2 linked regions of the Caenorhabditis elegans genome follow. Each later gene encodes a partner of the first gene's protein in a complex. Each region holds a gene or a part of one and is shown in the gene's direction. Other genes may lie near its edges.

Region 1 (7,724 bases):
AAGAGGAATCTGGATCGACACATTGTTAATCATCATATTAGAAATGCGGTTATAAAAGGACCAATTATGAGAAGATCTAGGTCAGAAGAAAATTTCCAAATTTTTTGAGTCAATTTACAGTAATTAGATCAGAATTTAACTTTAAAAATGTTCAAAAAATTCATTTTGATGATCAAAAATTAGCTTTAAAACCCTTATTGGCCAAAAAAAATCGAAATTAGCCTTAAAAAAATGAAAATTGGCCTAAAAAATAAAAATCGTCCTGAAAAAATTTATATTGGCCTAAAAATCGCAAGTTGGCCAGAAAAATCGAAATTGGCCTAAAAAAATATAAATTTTCCTAAAAAATAAATATTGGCCTAAAAATAAAAATCGTCCTGAAAAAATTTAAATTGGCCTAAAAAATAATAATTGACTTAAAAAATCCTAATTGGCACAACAAATAAAAATCAGCTTAAAATAATGAAAAATTGGCTTTAAAAAAATATAAATTGGCTTAAAAATTCCAAATTTGCCTCAAAAATTTAAAATAGGCTTGAAAAATACAAAATTAAACCAAAAAATCTAAAATTGGCCTATAAAATCAAAATTGACTAAAAAAAAATTCAAATTGGCTTAAAAATTTCAAATTATCCTTTAAAAAACTAAATTGGCCAATAAAATCCAGTTGGCCTATAAAATCAAATTTCGCTTAAAAATTCCAAATTGGCCTAAAAAATTAAAATTGGCCCAAAAATCTAAATTGGCCTTAAAAATTCCAAATTGGCCTTAAAAAATCCAAATTGGCTTTAAAATTTCAAATTGGCCTTAAAAAACAAAATTGGCCTATAACATCGAAATTGGCCTAAAAATATCTAAATTGGCTTTAAAAATTTCAAAATTGGTCTAAAAACCTCAGTGGCCTGAAAAATTCCAAATTGGCCTAAATAAAAAAATTGGCTTTAAAAATTTCAAAATTGGTCTAAAAACCTCAGTGGCCTGAAAAATTCCAAATTGGCCTAAATAAAAAAATTGGCCTAAAAAAATCAAAATTGGCTTAAAAATCGCAAGTTGGCCAGAAAAATCAAAATTGGCTTTAAAATTTCAAATTGGCCTTAAAAAACAAAATTGGCCTAAAAAAATTAAATTGACCTATAAAATCAAAATTGGCTTTAAAATCAATATTAGCCTTAAAGAAATCAAAATAGACCTGAAAAATTCCAAATTGGCCTGAATAAAAAAATTGGCCTAAAAAAATCAAAATTGGCCTATAAAGGTTTATAAATTTTTTTTCGAAAAACCATTTTTTTCAGAACAATTCCTCGATATCACCCCGAAGACCAAGTCGAATCGATACCGACAACAATGAAGTACACTGTAAACGAGAAATCCGTTCGAGTATCCGTCGCGGCGACACGCCGACGGCAACTTCGAGAAGATCATACTTATATATCGGCTGCCGCCGCATCCACTTCAAATGAGCCTTATGTAGAAGAAGAGGAAGAGATTATAGAGGAAGCTCCAATTGGAGACGAAGATGATGAAGAAGAAGAAGTTTATGAATGAAAAATGTCACATTGCACCATTTGATTTTTTAAAAAATATTTTTTCTGAAATCATTATTATTTTCAGATTATTCACATGATTTTCCATACTTTGTTATTAGACTCGAAACTGTCTGAAAACAACGAATTTCATAGTGAAACTTTTTGAAAACTTCTCAAAAAAAAAGTTATGACGGTTCAAAAAATGACCCTAAATTAGTTAAAATTTGAAATTTGACCGTCTTGGAAACTAACTTTTTTGAAAAATCACCGTCTAATTTTGGCTATACAAGTTAATTATCTTGCGTTTTCAACTCGATTTAGGTACATTTAAATGGTTATCAATTCGCAAAATTTTTAGTAGAAGTTTTGGTAAATTTCGAAAATTTCCAAGTCAAAGAATCAAGTGAATAGCCAAATTTTGTGGTAATTTGCCACATTTTTTGGAATATCGCCAGTTTTTTTTTGTTGAAAAATTGCCACAAAAATTGAAAATATGCCAATTTTTTGATAAAATGCCCAATTTTTCAGTCAATGTTTTTTTTTTGAAAAATTGGCAAAAACAATTGAAAATATACCAATTTTTAGAAAATTGCATAACTTTTCAGTCAATGTTTTTTTTTTGCTCAATTGCCAATTTTTTTGAAAAACTTTCAAGTATTTGGTAAATTGCCAAATTTAAAGTTAAATTTCCAAAATGTTTCCCAAAATTAGACGGTGATTTCAAAAAAGTTAGTTTCCAGCCGCTCAAATTTCAAATTTCAACTAAGTCATTTTTGAGCCGCCATAACTTTTTTTTTTGAGAATTTTCCAAGAAGTTTCATTCTGAAATTCGGTGTTTTCAGGCAATTTCGACTAAACCAATGAAGAAAAATATTGGAAAAAACATGGTGCAATCGACCTACTTGAGCCGACATGCAAAAGTAATCACATTCTATTTTTTTTTTTCGAATTGTTCACATTTTTCCCTGAAAACCCCCACCCCTCTCGTACATGTAATATCATTTCACCGTAATCACCTCATACAAATGTCATTTTTTAATGATAATTCTCTGCTTTTTTTACCGCAATTGTGAATAAATTTCAATTTTTATGAAAAATAATTTTTATATGTTTTGCAAGTTTTTGTTTCAGGTCTTTACACCAGATTTATTTGATTTTTTAAAAAGATTTTTGGAAAAAAATTTTTTTTTTGAAATTTTTTAGGAGAAAAAATTGTGATTTTTTTCGAATCAAATTTTGAAGAAATTATTATACAATCATTAGAAATTTTAAAAAAAAATAATTTTTTTATTGGAATTTTTTTTTGAATTTTTTTCGAAATGTTTTTTTTTTTAATATTTTTTGTTGTTCAAAAGTTAATTTTTTTCCTAAAATTTAAACCACTTCCAAACCTAAAAATAACCATATTAACAAATCCAACAAAATTAAAAATATTTTAAATTTTCTCAAAAAATTTTGAAATTTTTTTGATTATTTTTCAAAAAAAAATTTTTTTAAATTTTTTTGGAAGAGCATTTTTACAAATAGGGGAAATACACAAAATATCATTTGCAAATGAGCACAAAACGTTTTAAAAAATTAATTAATACTTTCAGAAAAAAAAAAGTTTTTTTCTGAAAGTGTTTTGTAATGTCGAAATACTTAATAAAACATTTTTGGAAAAAATCTCAAATTTTCAATAAAAAATTTTTTTTTTGAAATGTTGAAAAAAAAAAATTTTTTTAACTTTTTGTGAACGCTCTCAACGCTCTCTCTCATTTTTTAAAACTGAAAAAAAAACATAATTTTAAGCTCAAATTCCCAATGAAAAGAGCCTTATTTGTGGCCGAGAAGAATGACGTGGCAAAGGGAGTCGCTGCGATTTTATCAAATGGAACAGCGAATCGACGAGAGGGGCGGAGCAAGTTTAACAAGATTTACACGTTGAATACCGAGCTTTTTGGACAGGTACCAGCAGTCATTTGGCTCTGAAATACCCAAAATAGTCTAAAATCCGCAAAAAATCACTATTTAATCAATTTTCGGTAAATAAGAACTGCGACCAATCAGCGATTTGCTCCGCCCACTTTTCAACCAATCAGGTGAAGTGGGCGGGGTTAGGAGGTGTTTGAAATACCCAAAATAATAGTCTTAATTCACCAAACGCCGCCCACTCCATCTGGTTGGTTGGAAAGTGGGCGGAGCGAATCGCGCTGATTGGTCGCAGGTTCAAAAAGTTGGATTTTTAAATTTTTCGCTATTTTTTTTCGGTTTTTTTGTGATTTATACGGAATTCGAGACTAGTTTGAGTATTTCTAAGCAAAAAATCACTATTTTTATCAATTTTCGGAAAATAAAAACCGCGACCAATCAGCGATTCGCTCCGCCCACTTTTCAACCAATCAGGGGTAGTGGGCGGGGTTAGGAGGTGTTTGAAATATCCAAAAATAGTCTTATATAAAGAAAAATCCACCAAACCCCGCCCACTCCATCTGATTGGTTGGAAAGTGGGCGGAGCGAATCGCGCTGATTGGTCGCAGGTTCAAAAAGTTGGATTTTTAAATTTTTCGCTATTTTTTTTCGGTTTTTTTGTGATTTATACGGAATTCGAGACTAGTTTGAGTATTTCTAAGCAAAAAATCACTATTTTTATCAATTTTCGGAAAATAAAAACCGCGACCAATCAGCGATTCGCTCCGCCCACTTTTCAACCAATCAGGGGTAGTGGGCGGGGTTAGGAGGTGTTTGAAATATCCAAAAATAGTCTTATATAAAGAAAAATCCACCAAACCCCGCCCACTCCATCTGATTGGTTGGAAAGTGGGCGGAGCGAATCGCGCTGATTGGTCGCAGGTTCAAAAAGTTGGATTTTTCAATTTTTCGCTATTTTTTTCGGTTTTTTTGTGATTTATACGGAATTTAAGACTATTTTGAGTATTTCTAAGCAAAAAAATCACTATTTTTATCAATTTTCGGAAAATAAAAACCGCGACCAATCAGCGATTCGCTCCGCCCACTTTTCAACCAATCAGGGGTAGTGGGCGGGGTTAGGAGGTGTTTGAAATATCCAAAAATAGTCTTATATAAAGAAAAATCCACCAAACCCCGCCCACTCCATCTGATTGGTTGGAAAGTGGGCGGAGCGAATCGCGCTGATTGGTCGCAGGTTCAAAAAGTTGGATTTTTCAATTTTTCGCTATTTTTTTTCGGTTTTTTTGTGATTTATACGGAATTCGAGACTAGTTTGAGTATTTCTAAGCAAGAAAAATCCTATTTTTGCAGCAAACCGCAATTTCGGTGACAAGTGTTTCGGGACATATGATGAATTTCCAATTTCACGAGAATATGTCGAATTGGCAAACGGCGTCGATGGTCGAGTTGTTTCGAGCTCCGGTTCGGCATGTTGTCACACCAGAGATGAAGCTCATCGAGCAGACATTAAGGTTAAATTTTACGGGGGGGGGGGGGAAGGCAGGCATAAAGTAGGCAGTCTTTTGTTGGCGCGTAGGCGCGTAGGTAGCCATAAGGTGAGCTTGTAGGCAGGTAGGTAGGCATGAGAAATGTATCTATTACTTGTAGGTTGGCGAAAAGGCGCGTAGGTAGGCAGGAGGTAGGCGTGTAGGCAGGTAAGCGTGGAGTAGGCGAGTAGGCGCGTAGGTAGGCAAGCATACGGTGGGCGTATAGGCGAACGTATACTAAGATTAAGGTATTGATGTAGGTGGGCATGATGTAGGCGTCTAGGCAGGCAAGCGTGGAGTAGGCGTGTAGGCGCGTAGGTAGGCATGAAGTAGGCGTGTAGGCAAGCGTGGAGTAGGCGCGTAGGCAGTCATAGATTAGGCGTGTAGGTGCGTAGGTAGGCATGAAGTAGGCGTGTAGGCGAAAATTTATACATGTAGATAGGCGTCTAGGCAGGCAGGCATAGAGTAGGCGTGTAGGTGCGTAGGTAGGCATGGTGTAGGCGCGTAGGTAGGCATGATGTAGGCGTCTAGGCAGGCAAGCATATAGTAGGCGTGCAGGCAAACTTATAGGAAGCTTAAGGTATACCTGAAGGTATACATGTAGGTAGGCATCTAGGCAGGCAAACATTGAGTAGGCGCGCAGGCGCGTAGGTAGGCATGAGGAAGGCGCGTAGGCAGGCAAGCATACGGTGGGCTTAAAGGCGAACGTATAGGAAGCTTAAGGTATTTTTGTAGGTAGACATGAAGTAGGTGGCTAGGTAGGCAAGCATTGAGTAGGCGCGTAGGTAGGTATGAGATAAGTGCGTAGGCAGGCAAGCATAGAGTAGGCGTGTAGACGCGGAGGTAGGCAAGCATACCGTGGGCGTTCTGGCAAACGAATAGTAAGCTTAAGGTATCGATGTAGATGGGCATGATGTAGGCGTGTAGGCAGGCAAGCATATAGGTTCTTTATAGAAATTTTTGGAACTTTTCAGAGAACAAGCCCAACGACACGATATCCTGGTAGTCTGGACAGATTGCGATCGAGAAGGTGAAGCAATTGGCGCTGAAATTGTTAAAGTTTGCAGAGATAGCAACCGGCGGCTGGATATTTTCAGAGCGAGGTAACACAAAACTCTGAGAATGCGTACTACACAACATATTTGACGCGCAAAATATAAAATTCCCAAATTTTATTATAGATTCTCCGAAATCACAAAAGCAGCCATCACACGAGCAGCTCGGAATCTCATCCGACTCGACGAGAAGACCGTTGCCGCAGTTGATTGTCGAAGTGAATTGGATCTTCGAATTGGATCCGCTTTTACAAGACTACAGACGTTGCATTTAAGGAATCGATTCAGAGATTTACTGGGGCAAAATGGTAGAGAAATTGGGAAATTTGCAAAAAAAAATAATTTTTGAAAAAAAAGTTTGGAAAAATACCAAAATTTGGGCAATTTACTGAAAGTTTGGAGGTTTTCCAAAAAAAAAAAATATTGCAGAAAAAATTGAAAATATACATTAAAATTTGACAGTTTCCAAAATTTTGGCGATTCCAAAAACTTGCCCAATTTACCAATTTTCTGGGGTAAAATTTGCCAATTTGCCGGAAATTTGCCAATTTTCTATAAAATTTTTTTTTTTTTTAATTAAAATATACCAGAAAAAAATGTGATTTATTAAAAATTTGGGAATTTATCAAACAAAGTTCCCAATTTTATGAAAATTGGATTTTTGGCGGAAAATTTAAATTTTTTTATTAATTTACCAGAATATTTGGCAATTTACCAAAATTTCGGCGGAAAATTTTAGCAAAGTACACAAAAAAAAATTTGGTATTTTTCTAGAATAATTTGAAAATTTCCCGTTTTTCTACTAAAAATTTTTTTCACGGATTTCTGGCTTCCCATGACTTGAAATGGAAGAGTTTTTGCCGAACTAGGCCAGGCCATATCTGGGGTAGATTTACGGCGCGCGTTGCGTGTCGCGTCGCGGCTCGATTGTAAAACTAAATGTATTTGTCCGTGTGGAGTCCGGCAGGCGATTGTCAATGGAGCGCGGAAAATGCAATAAGGAAGACCAGAACCCCGTGAAAATCACGGAAAGGCGTGTACTTCACACGGACAAATGCATTTAGTTTTACAATCGAGCCGCGACGCGACACGCAACGCGCGCCGTAAATCTACCCCAGATATGGCCTGGCCTAGTTCGGCAAAAACTCTTCCATTTCAGGGGAAATTTCCGTAGGGAAATTTTAGCAAATTACAAAAAAAAATTGGCAACTTACCACAAAATTTGGTATTTTTCTAGAAAAATTTGGAAATTTACCAATTTTTTTACTAAAATTTTTGGCAATTTATCAAAAATTTTAAATTTTTTTCCCTTGAAAAGTTTGGAAATTTGCCAAAACTTTTTCTGAAAATTTTGCAAATTTCCCAAATTTAAATAATTTTTTCAGACACATCCCAAGTGATCAGCTATGGCTCCTGTCAATTCCCAACACTCGGCTTTGTCACAGATCGTTATAAAATGATTGAGAACTTTGTGTCCGAACCATTCTGGAAGCTGATCGTGGAGCACACCCGGGAGAGCCATAAAGTCGAATTTCTATGGGATCGGAATCGACTTTTCGATCGAGACACTGTAGATATTCTTCATGATGAGTGTAAAGAAACCAAGGAAGCTCATGTTGAAAAAGTGGCGAAGAAGCCGAAGAGCAAGTGGAGACCGCAGGCTTTGGATACGGTTGAACTGGAAAAGCTGGGAATCTCGAAGCTTA
Region 2 (7,874 bases), on another chromosome or scaffold:
TTTTTAAAGCTGTAAAAACTGAAAAATTCTGCTCAATTTCCAATTTTTGTTGAAAACCTAGTGGTTTCTTGGATTGTTCTAATTTTTTATCAAAATCCTGCTGAAAATTAGAATTTTTAGCTTTTCCGCTTGTTTTTCGGAATTTTTTGTGGCTTTTTCCAGGTAAAAAATCCGTTTTTTACGGAAAAAACGGCAAATTTTTGAATTTTTCGATGTTTTTCCCATGAAAATCGGAAAATTTGTATTTTTTGTTTATTTTTAAAGGAAATTCGAATTTTTTTTCGTGGCGAGACCCAACCTTTTCAGACTTTGCGCAAAGTAGGTCAAAATTATACGGCAACTTGGCAACTGAATTTCCCAATACTGTCTGTGACTTGTGTGTTTCTCTATCCGAATTGATGGTTTGAATAGTGGTATTCTCGGCTGAAATATGCAATAAATACCGTATTCCAACCAACAATTCGGTGCAATAGAGCACATTTGTCACCGGGGATGCGGAAGCTATGCCCAAATTTTCATTTTTCAGGAAAAACACCTTTTAAAAGCCAAAATTGGGCCAAATTTCATAAATTTTTGGCCAAAAAACTTAAAATTTTCACCAAAAATCGCCTTTTTTTTTGCAGATGCCCAATTCTAAAATACACTGGCGGAGCAGATGATAGTCCTTCGGCTCGAGCACTAAATGACGTCATATCAATCGATAATCACGTTATGTTCAAAGCTATGCTAATCAATGGAAGATATGACGCTGTTGAATGGAAAAAAATTGCCGATTCTCATGAACTTGTGATGCCGAAAAAAGTGAACACGTCGGATTCGTATGCACAGACTCCTGCGTGTCTTGTGGTACGGGGTTTTGAGTGGAAATTTGGGATTTTCCGCTAAAAATGAGCTGAGAAAATCGGAAATTTTAACCCTAAATTGCCTGGAAATTCGGAATTTTGCGTTAAAAAAAGTGAAAAAAAAACATTCAATTTTAGATCCAAAAAGTTTATTTTGGAAGCTCCCACTTTGGCTGAAATTTTGATATTTCTGGTTAAATTTTACCGGTTTTATGCAGAATTTTTTATAATTTTCCACTTTAATTGGCATTTTAGAGCCTTAATTTTTACTAAAAATGCGCTAAAAATTTGATATTTTACTAACTTTTGTTAGAAATGTGAATATTTTATTAAAAAGGTTGATTTTTATGTAAATTAAATTATTTTGTCAACAAAAATTAGATAAAAATTCGGAAAACCCATTTTCCATACCGTTTTCAGATATTTCTGGCCTCCTTTGCAAAAAAATGAAAAATTGGAAATTTTCAGGAATTAAAAAAAATTCAAAATTTTTCAAATATCTAAACAAATTAGGATACTTTGACCGATTTTGCTACGCTTAGAAAAAGTTTTAGTCCATTTTCTAAATTTAAATCAATTTTCTGACGACATTTTTCAAAAAATTTGAAAAATTTCACACATTTTGACTAGTTTTTTTTCCAAAAATGTAAATTTTTTTTAAACTTTAAAAAAGTTTTTTAAATTAAAAAGCTGTAAAAACCGAAAAATTCTACCTAATTTCCAATTTTTTGTTGAAAACCTAGGATTAGCTTGGATTTTGCTAATTTTTCTCAAAATTGTGTTGAAAATCTGAATTTCTAAGCTTATCCGTTTTTTTTTCTAACATTTTCGGCGTTTTTCATCCCAGTTACCGAGGAATGCTATAAATTTTGAGTACGGCAACTCGGCAACTGAACTGAATTTCCCTGTATATTGTCTGTGACTTGTGTGTTTCTCTATCCGAATTGATGGTTTGAATAGTGGTATTCTCGGCTGAAACATGCAATAAATACCGTATTCCAACCAACAATTTGTGCAATAGAGCACATTTGTCACTGGAGATGCGGAAGCTATGCCCAAATTTTCAATTTTTCACGTGAAAACTTTGTCAAAATCACTAAATTTTCGCCTAAAAACCTGAAATATTCAGACAATCATGTTCCGAAAACTGCTCCAAAATCATCCAGAAGATATGGATCGATACTCATCAATATTGGATCAATTGCCACCGTCAGCACTTCCAGATTGCTATTTTTCCCGTGAAAATTGCACGGAATAATGGGATTTTTTTTTTGGTTTTTTTTTCGGTTTTATTCTCGAAAACGTGTTTGTCAATACTAATTATTGGGTTTTTTTTTCACAATTTTGCACTTATTTTCCGCACAAAATCGGTTAAAATTCCGGCTTTTTTTTACCTATTTTCACCCATTTTTTACCCCAAAAAACCGGAAAATCCATAGAAAATGTGCGATCGAGACGATTGTGCAAGTATCGCGAGCCGCTGCACCGGAGAAACTATCATTTGTGCATTTGTGGAATCAATCACACCGCCCAAGATTCGAGATAAGACGGGTAGGTTTTTTTTTTGCGGAAAAACTGCAAAATCCACTTAATTATCGATTTTTGGTGCGGAAAACGCCGAAAAATTGTCATTTTTGGGTTACTGTAGCCCCAAACATCACACCAATGCATCGGATCTTACGACAAAATGCAGAAAAAATTCGATTATTACGTAGAACCGCGTTTTTCCGCATTTTGTCGTAAAATCCGGTGCATTGATGCGGTTTTTGCACGGATTTAGGGATACGGTAACCACAAATTCGATTTTTCATTAAAAAATGACATAGTGCTAATTTTTCAAGTAAAAAACTGGATTTTTATATGAAAAATGTGATTTTGAGCATAAAAAGCGGCGTTTCCGGGCTAATTCACGATGTTTTTGGTTACTAAAAGCAAACACCAGACCTTACGACAAAATGCAGAAAAACCCGATTTTTCTGCATTTTGTCGTAAGATCTGGTGTCTAGACGCGGAAAAATCCTTTTTTTTTTCGCTTATAACTTAAAATTTCGGATTACTGTAGGCCCGATTCTGTGTAGACACCAGATCTCACGACAAATTGCAGAAAACGCTCAAAAGTGAAGTTTTACGCATTTTGTCGTAAAAGTTTCAATTTTTGACAGAAATTTAGCTTTTTTTAGCTGAAAATTTGAAAATTCAAGTGGAAATTAGTGAAAATTGCACCAAAAACAGATTTTTAGCGAAATGTTTGATTTCCGGATTACTGTAGCCCCAATTCTGTGCAAACACACCGCCTCACAGACACCGGATTTTACGACAAAATGCAGAAAATGAGCCACAATCCAACTTTTCTGCATTTTTTCGTGGGATCGGGTGTCGTCTAGCCGCCGTGATTGAACACAACAAGTTCCCCGAAAATGGTCATTTTCACTCAAAATTTCGAGGAAAAATCCTTTTTTTTCCGCTTAAAATTCAAAATTTCGGGTTACTGTAGCGATTCCGATTCTGTGCAGACACCAGATCTCACGACAAATTGCAGAAAACGCAGAAAAATTGAAATTGCTGTATTTTGTCGTGAAATCAGGGCCAGAATTTTCTTTTTTTTTTACAGAAATTGGGGTTTTTTTAAGCTGAAATATTGAAAAAATTCGGTGGAAATCGAGAAAATTGGCCCCAGTGCATTTTTCCCACAGTGCATTTTTTTTTCTCACTTCTACGACTTTAAAGGCGCGCGCATTTATACAAAATGGTCCCGTCATTGGTCTCGCCACGCGCTCAACAAATCAATGGGATGCGCGTGGCGAGACCATTGTGCGAAAATGCGCGCGGCTTTAAAGTCGTAGAAGTCCCTTCTCTATACAAACACACCAGATTTTACGACAAAATGCAGAAAATCTATTTTTCTGCATTTTGTCGTCGGATCGGGTGTCTTGGCGCTGTGTTTGCACAAAAGTGAGGCTACAGTAATCTCTGCATGCATTTTTTTGTAATTAAATTGACAAAAACTTTAATTTTTCGTTAAAAATACGAAATTTTTCATATTTTTCTAGATTTTTTAAAAGAAATAAATATAGTTATCGCTGAAAAAAAACAGCTGTCAGAGTCAAAAATTGCACGAAAAATGTTCAAAAAAAAAAAAGGAATTTTCATAGAAAAATGTACTAAAAACTAAAAATCCCCCCAATTTTCAGGCACCTACGAGCTGAAATGCCCATTTGCGGAAGGTTTCACAATGGAAATTGGCGATTTGTTCCTTTTTCACTTTGTTTTCGATGGCTCCTCGGAGAAATGCACACGTTTGACGCCGATTCCAAAGATGTTGGCTATGGTGTACGAGAAATTGTTGAAGGATCTTCGAAAAGCTAAAAAAGAGGGGAAAAGTATGGGTTTTTTGAGGAAAATTGCAGAAAAATTGCGATTTTTTACAAAAAATTGGAAAAAAAAAATCACTTTTCGAATTTTCTTGAGAAAATGTCGGAAAATTCAAATTTTCCTATTTTTTTCTTAATTGACATTTTTAATGAATTTCACGCAAAAATTGAAAAAGAGCTAATTTTTCCAGTCAAAAACAGGATTTTTATTTGGAAAATTTTGATTTTCAGCTTTGAAAACAGTGTTATCGGGTTAATTTTCGCAAAAATCTTAATTTTTCAATGTTTTTGGTTACTGTAGCCCCAGTTCTGTGCAAACACCGCTCCCAGGCGCCAGATCTTACGCCAATGTGCAGAAAAAAAAATGCAGAAAAAAAGAAGAAAATATTATCAAAAACGGTAGTTTCAATGCCATAGTTTTCGTAATTTTAGCCTAAAATAGAGTTTTTCTGCAATTTGTCGTCGAATTCGGTGTATAGTCGGCACACTACAGTAATCAAAAATTCAACATTTTTGCAGTGCACCCGCATTTTTTTCACAAAATTCGGATTTTGCAACATATTTTACGGTAAATTGCAGAAATATCGATTTTTCGTTGTGTTTGCACATAAAGTAGGCTACAGTAACCCAATTTTTAGAAAATTGTCATTCTCTTAGTAAAAAATGATTTTTTGTTTAAAAATATTAGAACTTTAAGCTTTTCCGCTTGTTTTTCTATCCCAGTTACCGAGGAATGCTATAAATTTTAATACGGCAACTCGGTAACTGAACTAAATTTCCCTGTATATTGTCTGTGACTTGTGTGTTTCTCTATCCGAATTGATGGTTTGAATAGTGGTATTCTCGGCTGAAATATGCAATAAATACCGTATTCCAACCAACAATTTGTGCAATAGAGCACATTTGTCACCGGAGATGCGGAAGCTATGCCCAAATTTTCCATTTTTCAGCCTGAAAACTTTGTCAAAATCGCTAAATTTTCGCCTAAATTTTCACGCCCTTTTTCTCAGATTTCGCGGTTTCTAGCTGAATTTTGAAATATCGAGGGTTACTGTAGCCCCAAAAATACGCAAACGCCGAATTTCACCCTATTTCTGAATTTTGAGCTGAAATTTTGAGTTTAGACTAAGAAAATGGCGAGGAATTCGATTTTAATGCTCAAAATTCCAATAAATTTTTTTTTGAACGTCTGAAAATTAAATTTTTCTGTGCAAAATGAGTATTTTTTTTTCGCGAAACTCAAATTTCTGTGACTTGTGTGTTTCTCTATCCGAATTGATGGTTTGAATAGTGGTATTCTCGGCTGAAATATGCAATAAATACCGTATTCCAACCAACAATTCGGTGCAATAGAGCACATTTGTCACTGGAGATGCGGAAGCTATGCCCAAATTTTCAATTTTTTTTGGGCTAAAAACTTCAAATTTATTTCCAATTTTCAGTGATCATCTCACCAACAGCCAACTGATCATCTCTCCGTCATCGTCTGCGTCTCTAATTTTTTTTTCGCAAAAATGTTTTTTTGTTTTTTTCTAAATTTCTCTGTTTCTCTGCTTCCTCGAAAACTTCAAAATCTCTCGGTTTCTCCCAATTTTTCTCATTTAAACTGGTATTCTTATCAAATTTGTTAATTGGTTTTTTAAATTTATTGACTTTTTACTGGTACTTCTCCTTTTTTTTGTAAGTTTTTTTGTACATTTTTCTATGAAAATTCCTTTTTTTTTTTTTGAAAATTTTTCCTGCAATTTTTGACTCTGACAGCTGTTTTTTTTTCAGCGATAACTATATTTATTTCTTTTAAAAAATCTAGAAAAATATGAAAAATTTCGTATTTTTAACGAAAAATTAAAGTTTTTGTCAATTTAATTACAAAAAAATGCATGCAGAGATTACTGTAGCCTCACTTTTGTGCAAACACAGCGCCAAGACACCAGATCCGACGACAAAATGCAGAAAAATAGATTTTCTGCATTTTGTCGTAAAATCCGGTGTGTTTGTATAGAGACGGGACTACAGTGCATTTTTTTCCAACTTCTACGACTTTAAAGGCGCGCGCATTTTCGCACATGGGTCTCGCCACGCGCATGGCGAGACCAATGACGGGACCATTTTGTATAAATGCGCGCGCCTTTAAAGTCGTAGAAGTTGGAAAAAAAATGCACTGTACAGTAACCCGTAAATTGAAATTTCGCAAAAATTCAGTTTTTGGGGCCAATTTTCTCGATTTCCACCGAAATTTTTCAATATTTCAGCTTAAAAAAACCTCAATTTCTGTAAAAAAAGAAAATTCTGGCCCTGATTTCACGACAAAATACAGAAATTTCAATTTTTCTGCGTTTTCTGCAATTTGTCGTAAGATCAGGTGTTTGCCAAACAACTGGGGCTACAGTAACCCGGAAATTGCAATTTTGGAAAAAACGGAAAATAGCAATTGTTGATGCGAATTTCTAGTTTTTAGCTAAAAAATCAGCTTAAAAATGATTTTTTTCAAGCTCCGGGCTACGGTAGCTCCGATTCTGTGCAAACACGGCGCCGAAACACCAAATCTGACGACAAATTGCAGAAAACCGCTAATTTTTACGCTTAGCCTAATGAAAATGTGATATTTTGCGCTGATACCTGCGTTTCTGACAATGTTTTCAGAAGTTTTCTGCAATTTGTCGTAAGATTTGGTGCCCCTATTTGTGTTTGCACAGAAACGGGGCTACCGTAACCAAATTTTTGCAAAAATTGCAGTTTTCTTGGTGAAAACTAGTTTTTTCTTCAAAATTAACTCGAAAATTTCCAGTTTTTTCGTCCAATTTCACGAAAAAGGCGTTTTCTGCAATTTGTCGTAAGATCCGGTTTGCCAAACAACTCATCGGGCTACAGTAACCCGAAAATTTCCAATTTTCCAGTTTTTCGCATCAAAAAATGGGTGTCACATGGGTTTTCGAAGCAGAACAAACGGCAAAATCAGTGGAACGACTGTTGGAATCGATCGGAGGCGATCTTCACGGAACATTTATCGTCGACGTCACCCCATTCAATCCGCCGACACCGAGTTCCGATTATCCGTCAAATGTGGTGATGCATCACTCGAAATGCCCACAATCAACGTTTTCCATTTGTGAGCACCCACCCGAGTTTTCAGTGGAAAAATCGCGAAAATTGAAGGAATCTGACCTAAAAACACTGCAACTTTTTTCCTGACGAGGGACGAGGAAAAGTGGTTTCTAGGCCATGGCCGAGGGGCCGACAAGTTTCAGCGGCCATTTATCTTGTATTGTTTTCCGCCTGTTTTCTTTTGTTTTTCATCGATTTTTTTTCGTTTTTTCTTAATAAAACTGATAAATAAATATTTTTTGCAGATGCTAAAACAATTTCCAAGTAAAAAAATAATGTATTCAGTGGGCAAGCAGCGGTGAAAGTGGGCATTGTAATATGATGGATTACGGGAATACAAAACCTAAACTTTTTCTGAAACATGATACATATGATGCTTAGATGCTGAGACTACCTGATTTTCATAACGAGACCGCTGAAAAAGTTTTGAGGTTTTCAAAATTCAACTTTTTTTGGTGAAAAAGTCGAGATTTTCGCACAAAACGTTGAATTTTGAAAACCTCAAAACTTTTTCAGCGGTCTCGTTATGAAAATCAGGTAATTTCAGCATCTAAGC

The links. Proteins that work in one complex are often made in the same cells at the same time.
Region 2: top-3A (region 1) and rmif-2 share a complex: the UniProt entries of both Caenorhabditis elegans proteins name them as parts of the BTR double Holliday Junction dissolution complex.

What each region holds. Positions count from the first base shown.
Region 1 is NC_003281.10:11,955,774-11,963,497, reverse strand, and holds the start of top-3A (DNA topoisomerase 3), read left to right. Parts: upstream 1-3,317; 5' UTR 3,318-3,329; coding exon 3,330-3,473; intron 3,474-4,787; coding exon 4,788-4,948; intron 4,949-5,937; coding exon 5,938-6,066; intron 6,067-6,144; coding exon 6,145-6,326; intron 6,327-7,403; coding exon 7,404-7,724. Other genes in the region: Y56A3A.28 (C2H2-type domain-containing protein), read left to right, coding at 1-80, 1,293-1,545. UniProt on the Caenorhabditis elegans protein: Component of the BTR double Holliday Junction dissolution complex, which is involved in homologous recombination during meiotic double strand break in the germline.
Region 2 is NC_003282.8:1,180,691-1,188,564, forward strand, and holds rmif-2 (RecQ-mediated genome instability protein 2 homolog), read left to right. Parts: upstream 1-1,901; 5' UTR 1,902-1,971; coding exon of another isoform or gene 1,972-2,100; 5' UTR 2,101-2,284; coding exon 2,285-2,393; intron 2,394-2,507; exon of another isoform or gene 2,508-2,614; intron 2,615-3,099; exon of another isoform or gene 3,100-3,174; intron 3,175-4,033; coding exon 4,034-4,222; intron 4,223-5,655; coding exon 5,656-5,681; 3' UTR 5,682-5,935; downstream 5,936-7,874. Other genes in the region: Y104H12D.2 (DUF7930 domain-containing protein), read left to right, coding at 624-846, 1,972-2,100; mdt-20 (Mediator of RNA polymerase II transcription subunit 20), read left to right, coding at 7,127-7,322. UniProt on the Caenorhabditis elegans protein: Essential component of the RMI complex, a complex that plays an important role in the processing of homologous recombination intermediates.